Linked DNA regions of Arabidopsis thaliana. The protein of the gene in region 2 interacts with the protein of the main gene of each other region in a pairwise test. Each region holds a gene or a part of one and is shown on either strand. Other genes may lie near its edges.

The links.
Region 1: the proteins of AGL102 (region 2) and AGL78 interact in a two-hybrid assay, tested with the Arabidopsis thaliana proteins (one large-scale study listed by BioGRID).
Region 3: the proteins of AGL102 (region 2) and AT1G33760 interact in a two-hybrid assay, tested with the Arabidopsis thaliana proteins (one large-scale study listed by BioGRID).
Region 4: the proteins of AGL102 (region 2) and AGL103 interact in a two-hybrid assay, tested with the Arabidopsis thaliana proteins (one large-scale study listed by BioGRID).

What each region holds. Positions count from the first base shown.
Region 1 is NC_003076.8:26,108,687-26,111,903, reverse strand, and holds AGL78 (AGAMOUS-like 78), read right to left. Parts: upstream 1,579-3,217; coding exon 553-1,578; 3' UTR 501-552; downstream 1-500.
Region 2 is NC_003070.9:17,570,845-17,573,873, forward strand, and holds AGL102 (AGAMOUS-like 102), read left to right. Parts: upstream 1-1,569; 5' UTR 1,570-1,606; coding exon 1,607-1,885; intron 1,886-2,039; coding exon 2,040-2,315; 3' UTR 2,316-2,529; downstream 2,530-3,029.
Region 3 is NC_003070.9:12,236,040-12,239,210, forward strand, and holds AT1G33760 (Integrase-type DNA-binding superfamily protein), read left to right. Parts: upstream 1-1,507; 5' UTR 1,508-1,904; coding exon 1,905-2,459; 3' UTR 2,460-2,671; downstream 2,672-3,171. Other genes in the region: AT1G33750 (Terpenoid cyclases/Protein prenyltransferases superfamily protein), read left to right, coding at 1-309.
Region 4 is NC_003074.8:6,416,844-6,420,337, reverse strand, and holds AGL103 (AGAMOUS-like 103), read left to right. Parts: upstream 1-1,833; coding exon 1,834-2,994; downstream 2,995-3,494. Other genes in the region: PGSIP1 (plant glycogenin-like starch initiation protein 1), read left to right, coding at 1-398, 855-1,127. UniProt on the Arabidopsis thaliana protein: Probable transcription factor that may function in the maintenance of the proper function of the central cell in pollen tube attraction.

The DNA.
Region 1 (3,217 bases), on a different chromosome or scaffold from region 2:
AATGTGATATCGACTTTCTTGATAAAACACAAGGGCTAGTTTAATTGCAGATATTCAATCAGCTCAATCTTTATCTTCTTCCTCATACCATTACTCAGAAACTACACAGAGATTCTTCTTCTGCAAAAAGTCTAGAGGCTTCACGAACTCAGATCCACTCTCCATCTCCTTGTATATATTAGTTGATTCAGACAAGAAGGATACTAAGTTGCAAGAATTAAGGTTTTAAGATTATAATTTGTTTCATGCAAGTTTTTGTGAAAGATTTTTTATGGAAGTTCATATATATATGTCAATACTAACTGAAAAAAGTATCAACTTAAAAGTAAAAACAAAATCTCCACAAATGGATTTGTTTTCTTAACAAAAAAAAAAAACAAATGGATTTGTTTTGCAGTTATAATGACACTATAAAATATTAAAAAAAACAGTAACAGAAGAAATCGGAAGCAGAAACAGCTTCAATCTCTCTCCGATCCGCTTGCTACTTAACTATTGACTGACTCTTAATGAAGCTTCAAAAAAACAAATTCTTTTGGACAGATTTTGTTATCAGAGAAGTCTTGAGTTGCCAGGAAAACAATAACTGCTAGGAATGTTGTGGAGAGGTGGCAGAGAAGATGTCTGTAGCAGACTGCTCGCATCATAGCTTGAAAACATGTCTTGAGAGAAGCTAATGTTACCGACCGCATTACCATAAGGGTTCTGGTTGAAATCAGAAGAGAATTCATGTGGAACCGTGTTTGAGAGATTAGGATGTTGTAGACCGTTGTTGTTGTTGATGATTTCACTCACCATACACATGTTCTGATCAAAACCATGAAGCTGATCCTGTTGCTGCATCAAGTGATTATTCAACCCGTAGTTATTCACTGCAGATGCTTGTACCGAAAGTAACGGTGAGTAGTCTTGTGTGTTTGACACGCCAGGATGTTCAAAGTTGTTGTTGGTGATGTTGTCCGAACACATGTTCTGACCAAAACCATGCTGCATCAAGTGATTCTGGTAATTGATGAGTTGATTGGAGTGTGGAGCAGACAGTGGGAGTTGTGAGAGAGTAGCATCTCCATGGTTGTACATAAACAGCGAGAACTTGCTAGGATTCAAGTGTTGGGTCTGGTTCAGATACGATGGTGTTAAACTCTGATGCACCAAGTTTGTGTTCTGTAGTTTCTGCGCCTCAACAATACGAAGCCTTTCTTGCAGAGTAGAAAGAGTCCGTTCTAAGGACTGAATCAATTGAGAGAGTTGTTGAGGAGAGTAATGATCAAAGTTTGGATACCAATTCTTCTTCAAATTCGTCTTCCCCTTGTCCTTGTCCTTCTCCTTCTCGAGGAACTCATGAAGATTGCGGCTCTTCTTGCGTTTTCTGGCCTCTTTATACCTCAAAGCCATGTCTTTCACTGTCTCTCTCTCCTTAGGCCATGTTCTCAGTTCACCGTCTGGTCCGTAATAGATGACGCAAACCTCAATAGCACAGAGAATCGAAAGCTCTTCAGCTTTCTTGAAGATGGTTTTAAGTCTATTTGTTAAACTTGTTGAATTACGTGACGAAGAAGAAGAAGAAGCTTGCTTCATCGTGACTTTGCCTTGATTCGGCAAGAAACTAGGGTTTTTTCCGAGAGAGAGAACACACGAAGAAGAAGTATTGTCGAATTGAGGGTGAAACATTGTGAACTCAATATGTTTATATAGATGCCTTGGTGCCTACGGGAACAAGCAAACGCGACGCGTCGTTGTTAATCGCGAGGCGTGAAGATCTACGCTCCTACGATTCGATTCGATTTCCAATATCTAATGTAGATTTCCTTAATTAATGTCTCGATGGTAGAGACCAAAAAAAAAGGAAACTTTTAATTAGTTTCTCGATGGTACTTTATTTTAGGCTGTACAAAATTAAGATCTAATTAAAAAAATACTATAGATTTGATTGTGTAATTATTAATTGTGCAACAAAAACTTGGAGGAAAAAGGAAAATCTGTCTCTAAGAAAAAAACTCTTAATTGTTAATTAAGGGTTTTCAAAAAATTGAAGAAAGATTTCAACTCATTTTATTTCTAGGTTTCTTCTATCTTTTTTTTTTTCTTTTTTTTTCAAATTTTTTTTTACGTTATAGTTGTTAATTAAGGGTTTTCAAAAATCTATAAATTGTTTCTCCAATCAGAATGTTGTGAAAAATAACTAACATAAAAACACTCTTCAAATAATTAAAACTAAATGTTCGAAGGGTATATATATACTCACTCTGTTTATTGCAAAATTACCACTGTAAACGCATCACAATTCATATTGTGGAAGATTAATTCTTGTTATATATGTATTAGCTAGTCAAGAAAATACACAATAATTGGGAATGTGGAAGTCGACAAATGTAGTAACCAGCTTGCCTTATTATAGACACAACAATATATATAATAGGGTACAATTAATGTCAGATTGATAACGACGATCCAATAGTGAACCACAAATCACGAATTTTCAACTCACAAATAGACTCGTTTCTTTGTTAGATGAAATGTACCAATCATATAAAACGACATTGTGATTGGCAATCACAAAGAAATATAAATTGTTTATGCCTCATTAAATATATTACTTGAATGGTAAAGTATTAAGATTTGTTTTGCGATCATGAAAGTTAACATTCTTATTTGTTGTGTATATCTCTGAACGTTCTTATTGGATTATGTTATGTGGGATCTGTTGCTGAAGTATCCCTTTAGATTCATTTCATAATCCAATTTTCTTTATTTGATAGTATATTTGATTGCAGTCAATAAATAAATAAACTCCCTATAGATTGTTTTCCATCAATTGTAAGAGTTTTTATTTCTATTTGTAACTGAGGTTTTGAGCAAAAAGTCCATGGTATAAAAAATACCCCTTAGTCAAACATGAGAGATTTCATGACGATATATAAAGCGTAAAATCGGGTAAAATATAAAGTTATAAACTAATTGTTGATCTTAGTATTAAGAATTTATTGCATTCGTTTCTTAATTTATTGCGTAAAATCGGGTTAAAATTAATCAAATGGTTGATCTCTTCAGAGCTAGGGCTTCATTTCTTACATAAACGTCGTGAAAATTTGATTATTAAAGTCCTCCAAAGATTAATAAATTAAAACAAACCAACAAGACCCCATTATAAATACACGCATAAACATTACTTTGTGTAAAAGATAACGTAGCCATTAACTTTTATGCATTAACTCCT
Region 2 (3,029 bases):
TTCATCTCCAAAACGAGTTTGATAATGCATGATTTCGGTTAGACTATTCCCTTTACAATGCATGAATTTTCGATGATTTTTGAAGCCTTAGTCCATTGGTCTCGGATCGCCATGTCATTTGTCGTAGATTGCTAACTGATGTTGCCGGTAAAGTATTTTTGAATATATCCTCTAACGTTTCGTTGTCGAGTTGATTAATGTAGATATTTTTCATGGGTCTTCGGCTGAAAAACAGCTCAGTACGGAAAGTTGGTGCTCCAGCTAAAATTCCATGGAGTTAAATAGGGTCTCTAGATTTGCACTGAACTTGTTTTAGGGTTTTCGATTGCATGGTCGAATCACAGATCCATCCAACACCTCTGGTGTATCGGGTGAGGAATCTTCTAGTTGGATGTGGGTCCATCCAACACATCTTGTGCATCACATGAGGAATCTTCTAATTCGATATCCACATCAATTTATTTGACCTTTTGTAACACCCTGGTTTCACAAAATATGGTGGTGCATGCAGAGAAGTTTTAAAAATTTGATTTGACCACCTATATCATCAAATTGCACTTATTTTCAGTCAAACATCTGAAAAGAACTTCATAATTAAGCGTGCTTAAGTTAGAAAAATTACAGGGAATGACCTTCCAAGAAGTGATTGTCGCAACTGTATATGAGCGAGGATAAAACACGAGAAAATATAATGTGGTGATATGTAGGATCGGTAAACAAGCCTTTAAAGCCTCGTAAACGTAATGGATCGGCTATCGGGTAAGAGTGAGCCCGTGAGCCGAGAGAGGACGTGGGGTCACTAAGAAAGATGGAGGTCGGGGAGTTACAAACGGTATCAGAGCCAAACCCAGACGAATGTGGAGTTAAGAGGGTTAACAAAGTCGATTGTGACGGTCTTGATGCGCAACCAGGACGATACGATCTGCTAGAGGGATGAATTGTAACACTTTAGTTTCATGAAATATGGTGATGCATGTAGAAATGTTTAAAAGAATTGATTTTGACACCTATGTCTTTTGATGGGTGAATTTAGGAGAAGTGATTATTGTCGGATCCGTGTGAGTGAAAACAAAACATGAAATAATAAAATAAAAAACTCCTTTTAATTTAGAAAAAGTTGTTACCAAGTTTCATCAGTTTTTTATTTTCATTTTATTGATATGTCGTGGCTAGTGCGCATGTTTGACGCGTGTGAGTTTGCATTTTAAAATAAAATTTGTATATATGGAATGATATGTAGAGATACTAAATCTAATTTATAATTATTACAAAATTTGTATTTTTCCTAAATATTTTCTAATGAAAGATAAGCATTACAAAATTTATACTTTCTTCAGAAAATATATCTTAAGAATTTGTTTGGAATACCAACTCTTGACTATTATGATAAATTTGTGTAGTCAGAGTTATAAAGATATTTATGGTAGTAGTTAAAAGATAAATATATTTAAAAGGTAAATTCAAATATTTTAATAAAAAAAGGATAACAAAGATAAAAAATTATAATTAATGCGTTAAACCTACTTGAACCAATCCATCTATAAAATGGAGTAGAGTAGTAACAAAAACAACACCAACAACAAAAACATCTCTCTAAAACTAAGAAATGGGTCGTAGAAAAATAGAGATAAAATTTATTGAAGATAGCATCGAAAGGAAAGCGACGTTTTCAAGACGCCGAAATGGCATTTTTAAGAAGGCTGATGAACTCGCGAAGTTGTGTAATGTAGAGATTGCTGTCTTGGTCATCTCCCCCACTAATATACCATACACATACGGTTATCCATGCTTCAACGATGTGGTTGAGCGTATTCAAAATCCTAGTGCTTCGTCCAAACTCAGGAGTCTCATGAAAGAATTGGAACAAATCAAAGAGTTTCAGGAGGTATGTTTCCCATCATTAATATAATCTCATCCGTTAGTTTTCCTTCTTCTTCGTTCTCAACATATAGATTACAAAGATGGGTTTGCTATTATACACAGAATTAAATAATCATTATTTATTTTATATTATATAATATTTTTTTTGTCAATTTTAGGATTTGAGGAAGAAACAGCAAAGAAACCTTGAAAAGTCCAATATGAAAGAGAATGTAGATCTGAAATTGGAGGACTTAGTTGCTTTCAAGGCGAAACTCGAGGCCTATCAAGCAGGTTTAAAGAGGAAACATGTAGAGATGGAGGATTTGTCTTCTCCATCGATACTCTCAAAGAATACAAAGAATAAGATGATGAGGACCGAGTATTCGTCTGGACAGAGCAAAGGAATGTATGAGTTTCGGGCTTTCGGCCCAGGATTTCTTGGAACTATTTAGAACAATCGTCAAAATAAATATAAATATATAATTATTTATATCATATAAATCAATTACCGTTTATTTTTCTTTCCAAAAGTTTAAGGAATAAATTTTGGTTGCTTTAGTTTGAAGGAAGTTGTGTCCTCCATCTTGTTATCTTTTCAATCGGATTTTCGTAATGAAATGTTTTTTATATATAAATAATATACAATATATGTGATAATTTTGGAAAATATGTCAAAAAAATGTGAACTTTCAAATTTAGAACAAAAAAACATGAATTTTCGAAATGTCACTTAAATACCAAAGTTATTGTTGACTTTAGAATTAAATAGATAACTTTCGTTGATTTTGCCATTTCGGGTAAAACGTTACGTCAACTGACGAAAAAAATAACAGAATTAAGTCTTTTTTTTGTCATAAGATATTATTTAAGACTTAAACGAGCCAAAATTACGGGAAATTAACAGAATTAAGTCTTCGGTTATAAATTCTGTTAACTTATAAAACAACGTCGTTTCAATTTCTTTTTTTTTTTACAAGTTGAGGAATTGAACCCGCAACCTGTGAGATATAACAACTTTCCTTTACCGACTTAGCTCGCAGTTATTTATATGTTCTCAGAAACATACATATTTCTATAGGTTATAACAAAATGCCCAAATTAATAAAAATTTAGGGTTTCGATCCCCTTTTTCACAGTCTTCCCAATTTTAAAAGTTCTTTCCAAGA
Region 3 (3,171 bases), 5.3 Mb from region 2:
ATAGCCGGCTTCGAGGAGGAGATGAGGAGAGGAGAAGTGGTTAATGGGGTGAACTGTTACGTTAAGCAACATAATGTTACCAAGGAATTGGCGGTTCGAGAAATTAAGAAGATGATTAGAGATAATTACAAGATAATGATGGAAGAGTTCTTGACGATAAAAAGTGTGTCACGTCCGATTCTGGTCCGGTGCTTCAACATTGTACGATTGGTCAATCTGTATTACGAGGAGGGTGATAATTTCACCAATCCCAATGGCAAGCTCAAAGATCTCATCACATCTTTGTTCTTCCATCCTCTTCCGCTTTGAAGACTTGGCTCCTTGCCGAAAAATTCATCTACATTTCTCTTTCCATTATTATTGATGATTGTTAATTTGCTCTATGCACATATTTTTCCATTAAATTTTAATTCCTGGGGTTTCAATTAGTTTTTACTATTTTAATTTATTTTGCATAGAAGTTTTTTTTATAACTTTCACTACCCACAACGACAAGGAAAGTTGACCAAAAGAATGAAATAATATCATAATTCATGTTTATATACGTTATACTATTCAATTCTTAATTCATGTTTATATACGTTAAACTATTCAATTCTTAATTATGTTTCTTTGCAAATAATATTAAATTACACACATGAGTTCTTGAACCAAGGAACGTATAAGTTCAAAAAATAGACTGGAAAGCAAAACTTTGTTATACTTGTTGAGTTCTTATGTAGGATCCAAATCTTGTAGATAAGCAACAATATATAATGGGCGGTGAGATTAAGACTGAAAGTATTTTTTTGACCACCGGATGGACCGTACGGATTTCCACAATTCGATACGGTGTGGTTGTTAGTGCCTTAGTGGCGGTGGTGACCATTATGCAGCCATTTAACTATTTAGGGTTGGAATTTGGCTCATGAGGTTTTACTACACATCAAGAAATTATTTGGAGACAGAGCATCGATCTTCTGCTGGTCGGGTTTTAGAATTTCATAAAATCAAATTTTGGTTAATTTAGATGGGTTTCTTTCCCCAATTCTTCGTTATGAACAATTCATTATTTTGGTCAACTTAATTGTCTATGACTCTATGGGCAGTTACATAATGTTACTATCATATTTGCTGTCAAGACTCTTGAGATATGGCATATATGGACTTTTGTACGAGAACCTAAAGTTCTAACCAACACATGATATAAAGGACTAATTGCTTTTCTTTTCATTTGGTCTTACAACAACAAAACACAATATACTACTTTGACTTAAAATAATTGATCTTTTATATGAAACACTAATTTATCTCAGTATGAACTATGAAATCTATTTCCTAGTTGAAAAGTTTAAATATTTTGAACTTTTTGATCAAGTTAAATATCTATAATCTAACTAAGGCCCAGAATATACCAAATATGAAATATATTTATCAAGGCCATGTCAATTTTCTTGGAAGGCATGTACAAAGTTTTTACTGAAAACATATTTGATGTGTAAAAAAATATTTCTAAAAAAATTTAGAACCCAAATCATATAAATATCAAACTTGTCTTCAATCAAAAAAATAATATTCAATCAGCGTTTTCTTTCAAATACACACAACACACTATTTGTACACGCTTAAAGACAGCTTTGCTAATGTACAATATCCATGTAAGTAATAGAGACCCATGCATGCATGACAGCATATTTCCACTTCACAAGTAACTACGTAGGAAGCTCACTTCACCTGAAACCAAACAAGCCATCCACAAATTCTATTCCCTCATTTATTGTCTTCTTTATTTCTCTATATATACAATTTCACTTAACCACTGACTCTATAACTCAAAACTTCTAAACTAATTCGCACAGTTCTATATACACTCACAAACACACACACACACAATATAGTGCTACTAAAATAACCTTGTATTAATTATGGAAAACACTTACGTTGGCCAACGAGATTACCGCTTCAACGTTAACCAGTTGTCCTACAGAGGCATTCGTCGGAGGAAATGGGGCAAATGGGTATCGGAGATCCGAGAACCCGGTAAGAAAACAAGGATTTGGCTTGGAAGCTACGAGACGGCCGAGATGGCTGCAGCGGCCTACGATGCTGCGGCTCTTCACCTCCGAGGACGTGGGACCAATCTCAACTTTCCGGAACTCGTCGACAGTTTTCCTCGGCCGGAAAGCTCTAGTTCGGAGCACATTCAAGCGGCTGCACAAGATGCAGCACTTATGTTTAAACCAGGTAGGTTGAGTGAACCAGCTCTCGAGTCTGGTCAAGGACTTTCTCGAGTAGGATTGTCTCCGGATCAGATTCAAGCGATTAATGAGTCTCCATTAGACTCGCCGAGGATGGGGTGGATGCAGGATTTGGAAGTTGCTGACTACGAAGAATTATACGGACAATTTTTTGGTCAGCACGATAGGGATGAGTTTTTTGAAATGCAGCAATTTCAGTCCATATGGAATTCTAATAATTGATATACGTTCGCTTAATTGCTTAACCATTTGATTTTTTTTTTAATAATGTCATATCATCAACCAAGGTTTTTCGATTATATTCAGTAAAGTATAATAAATTTTCGACCCTTACTGTTTTTCTTGGGTTCAATTTGTAATCTCTTAACAATGATGATGTCATAAATACCAATATGATTAATTCAAATTTTCAATATATATGTAATGTTTTGGTTCCTTGTCAGTCAGATAGTATCATATGGTTTATACGAGAAATAAATATAAACCAAGGAAAAAACTCAATCCAAGAAAAAAAAATGTTATCTTATAAAAACTTAGAAAAAAGGGTGGTTACCTTGTGCTTCGTCTTCGGTTTTCGTTGTGGTATTCGTTAAATTGGAATAAGACTAACTCCGAAAAATAGGTAAGATTATAGACCAAAAACCTGAAACTCCTATGGTTTATTAAAAACAAAATTATTTGATGAAAGTCCATTATGTAGACACATATAACCCATAATATATACACACGAGCTGACGTGCACGTACCAATTCGTACTATGGCCGCCTCAAAAGTACAGGTTTATTCCATATTATAGTGAGCATGAGTCCGTTGAAAAGCTTTGATTACCTAAAGATATACTATAATCAGTATCAATAACAACTGTTGCAGTCAATATTATATTAGTATGAAATGTTTTAATTGTCCCATACGTTCAGTTTTCTGTTAGGCCTAA
Region 4 (3,494 bases), on a different chromosome or scaffold from region 2:
CAGGAAACAATGGAACTCTGTTTAATTCAGGAGTTATGGTGATCGAGCCTTGCAACTGTACGTTTCAGCTTCTGATGGAACATATAAACGAGATTGAGTCTTATAACGGTGGAGATCAAGGTTACTTAAACGAGGTATTCACATGGTGGCACCGGATTCCAAAACATATGAATTTCTTGAAGCATTTTTGGATTGGCGATGAAGATGACGCGAAACGCAAGAAAACAGAGCTTTTTGGAGCAGAGCCTCCTGTTCTTTATGTTCTTCATTACCTTGGGATGAAGCCGTGGTTATGTTACCGTGACTACGACTGTAACTTCAACTCCGACATATTCGTTGAGTTTGCTACCGATATCGCTCATCGAAAATGGTGGATGGTCCACGACGCCATGCCACAGGTGATTCACTCTCTCCTAAAAACCTTAATAGAACTCAAAAATCACATAATATTTTCAATCTCATATTGTGATCAATATTCAAAATATTATTAGGCGTTTAGTCATGCGTTGAGAGACTAACTGCATAGCATTATTTCTTTCTCAAAAATTTCCAAAACTTGAAAAAATAAATAAACTAAAAATTACTTACTACCCAAGTTTAGAATAACCATATGAAATTTGAATATACGAAAATCTTGGTGGGTTAGTAAATGCAGAATTAGCCCCCTACGCAGTAGGCATCAAGTTTTAATGTCTATGTTTTATACACCTTATAAAAAAATCATTTCAAATTTTCTTTCTTTATGATTAGTTTAAAAAAACATTGGTTGGCAGAAATATAAAAATAGTTAGACGTTTTCCCAAATTATTCTAAAATTGTGACGGTTAGTAATTACCATATATGATATTTTGCAGGAACTTCACCAATTCTGTTACTTGCGATCCAAGCAAAAGGCACAGCTGGAATATGATCGCCGGCAAGCAGAGGCCGCAAATTATGCCGACGGTCATTGGAAAATAAGAGTAAAGGACCCGAGATTCAAAATTTGCATCGACAAATTATGTAATTGGAAAAGTATGCTGCGGCATTGGGGCGAATCAAATTGGACTGACTACGAGTCTTTTGTTCCCACCCCACCAGCCATTACCGTAGACCGGAGATCATCACTTCCCGGCCATAACTTGTGACGCAATAATTATACATACTTATTAATGGATTTCATGAGTTTTTTGGTTTGAATTGTTGCTGCGAGATTAGGTGAATATCAGTTGTGTAACTATATCTTTTTCCTATAGTTTGTTCAAATTGAATAAAACATTTTTTTGCAGTTTAACCACAAAATAAAACATATGTCGTATTTATATGCCATTTTTGTATACAAACACAAACTCAAAAATGTTAGTAACATTCAAATAGTTTATACAGAAACGATAGATTATAGACTTACATATAGCCAAACAACACAAATTAATTGATGTAACTAAACATATGTAGTATAATTAAACTTTCGAAAAATCCAAATTTTTAGTCGAATCGCAGTGTAGTATGTATACATTACGTATAGTATATAAATCTATGTGTGTGTATATCAGTGTATGTATTTGTGTATGTATGTACATGTGAAAAGAATCTCTACTAAAGATTTCCATAATATTCAACCAAAAACCAAAGTTTTCCTTATTAGTAAAACTACACCTTCGTTAAACATATAAATTGATTCTATGAGAAAAAAGTATATTAAAAAAGGCAATGAAATCTTCACCGCTTTCATTATTGATTCGTCATTAATTACCGAGCGAGACCAAAAATAGAAATTCTCGAACTAAGGGTTTTATATATTCGCAAACAATGATCACCACCTCTTCATTCAATTCACAGAGAATATACACAACCATGGCTTCTTCTTCGTCCTCTTCTCTTTCGTTTTCAACATCGAAGAAGAACAAAACCTTTTTCAAGAAACCTAATTCTGCTTTTTCTTCTTCGAGGGCCACAAGTTTGATCAAAAGACAACAGACTGTCTTTAAGAAAGCTAAAGAGCTTTCAATTCTCTGTGACATCGATGTCTGCGTCATCTGTTACGGATCAAACGGAGAGCTTAAGACATGGCCTGAAGAGAGAGAGAAGGTCAAAGCCATAGCTCGAAGGTACGGTGAATTAAGCGAGACGAAGCGTCGCAAAGGAAGCGTTGATCTTCACGAGTTCCTCGAGAAGATGAACAAGGATGATCCCGAGAAGGAGGAGAAGAAGAAGATTAAAGTGAGACGTGTACCCAAAGTCAAGTATCCAGTTTGGGACCCTAGGTTTGACAATTACTCTGTGGAGCAACTCATGGGACTGGTTCAGTCCTTGGAACGAAACCTAACCAGGATCCAACATAGGACTTGCGCTGTTGTTGAAGCTCAGGGGCAGAGGAGGGTACAGTACACGAACATGGCTAATCAAGAACTGATGATGGCTAATACGATGAATCAACTTCAACAACACTCAAACCAGGTTTCCATGTATCTGTGGAACCATGGAAACGGTGCTTTCTCACAAATCCCAGTCTCAGCATTGGCTTCAAACCAAACGCAATCTCTAGCTCCGATTCCGCCTGAACTGATGATTTACCCGAATTCGGATGCGGGAAATTACTCGGGGTCTCTCGGGGTACAAGGAACTGGGATCAATGGGCTTCAGAACATGAACATGTTAACCTATAACAACATCAACAGCGTTAATGATTTCTCAAAACAGTTTGACCAGAATTCCAGAGCGGAAAGTTACTCTAGCTTACTTGGGGTACACGAAGACGGAAACAATGAGTTTGAGAACCCTAACATGTCCAGCCGCAACAACTTCAATGTTCAAGACTGTGCAGGGTTACTTGGGATGCAAGGAGCTGGAACTAACGGGTTGCAGAGCATGAACATGCATGACTACAGTAACAACAACAGCATTAACTCTAATGGTCTTTCGCATCAGTATGTTCAATTTCCAACGTACAACAGCCAACATCAGGACCGGGTTTTCAATTTGGATCAAAACGGAAACAATACTAGGTCTCTCTAAGATCTATCACAATCTCTCTTATAGCTTCATAATTTTTGGTTTTTAATATCTCCTAGTTATATAACTAAGAAGCATATATATTTATAACTTTTGGTTAGTGCAATTATCAGTTTGAGACAGTATATCGATCTCCAAGTTTTCGATTATGTCTACTTTTATTTATTAGTGTAATGTGACTAAAAGACTAATAATGTCTCCCATGCTAGTGACTCTTTTCTTATACTACTTCTTTTTTTTGTTATCCTGAGATTCTTTTGTTTGTTATATTTATTGCTGAGAATTAAGACTAGTAATGTCTCCCATGTTAGTGACACTTTTCCTATACTTCCTCTTTTGTTATTCTGAGATTTTTTTTGGTTTGTTATACTTATTGCCGAGAATTTGATTATACGATTAATGTTTGATGAATAAAAAAACCCTAGGCAAGCTTTTAAGTTTTAAGACGGGTAAAGTAAAACACAATCAGAAATTACTTAAGCTAAAAAAATACTTTAGCAGCT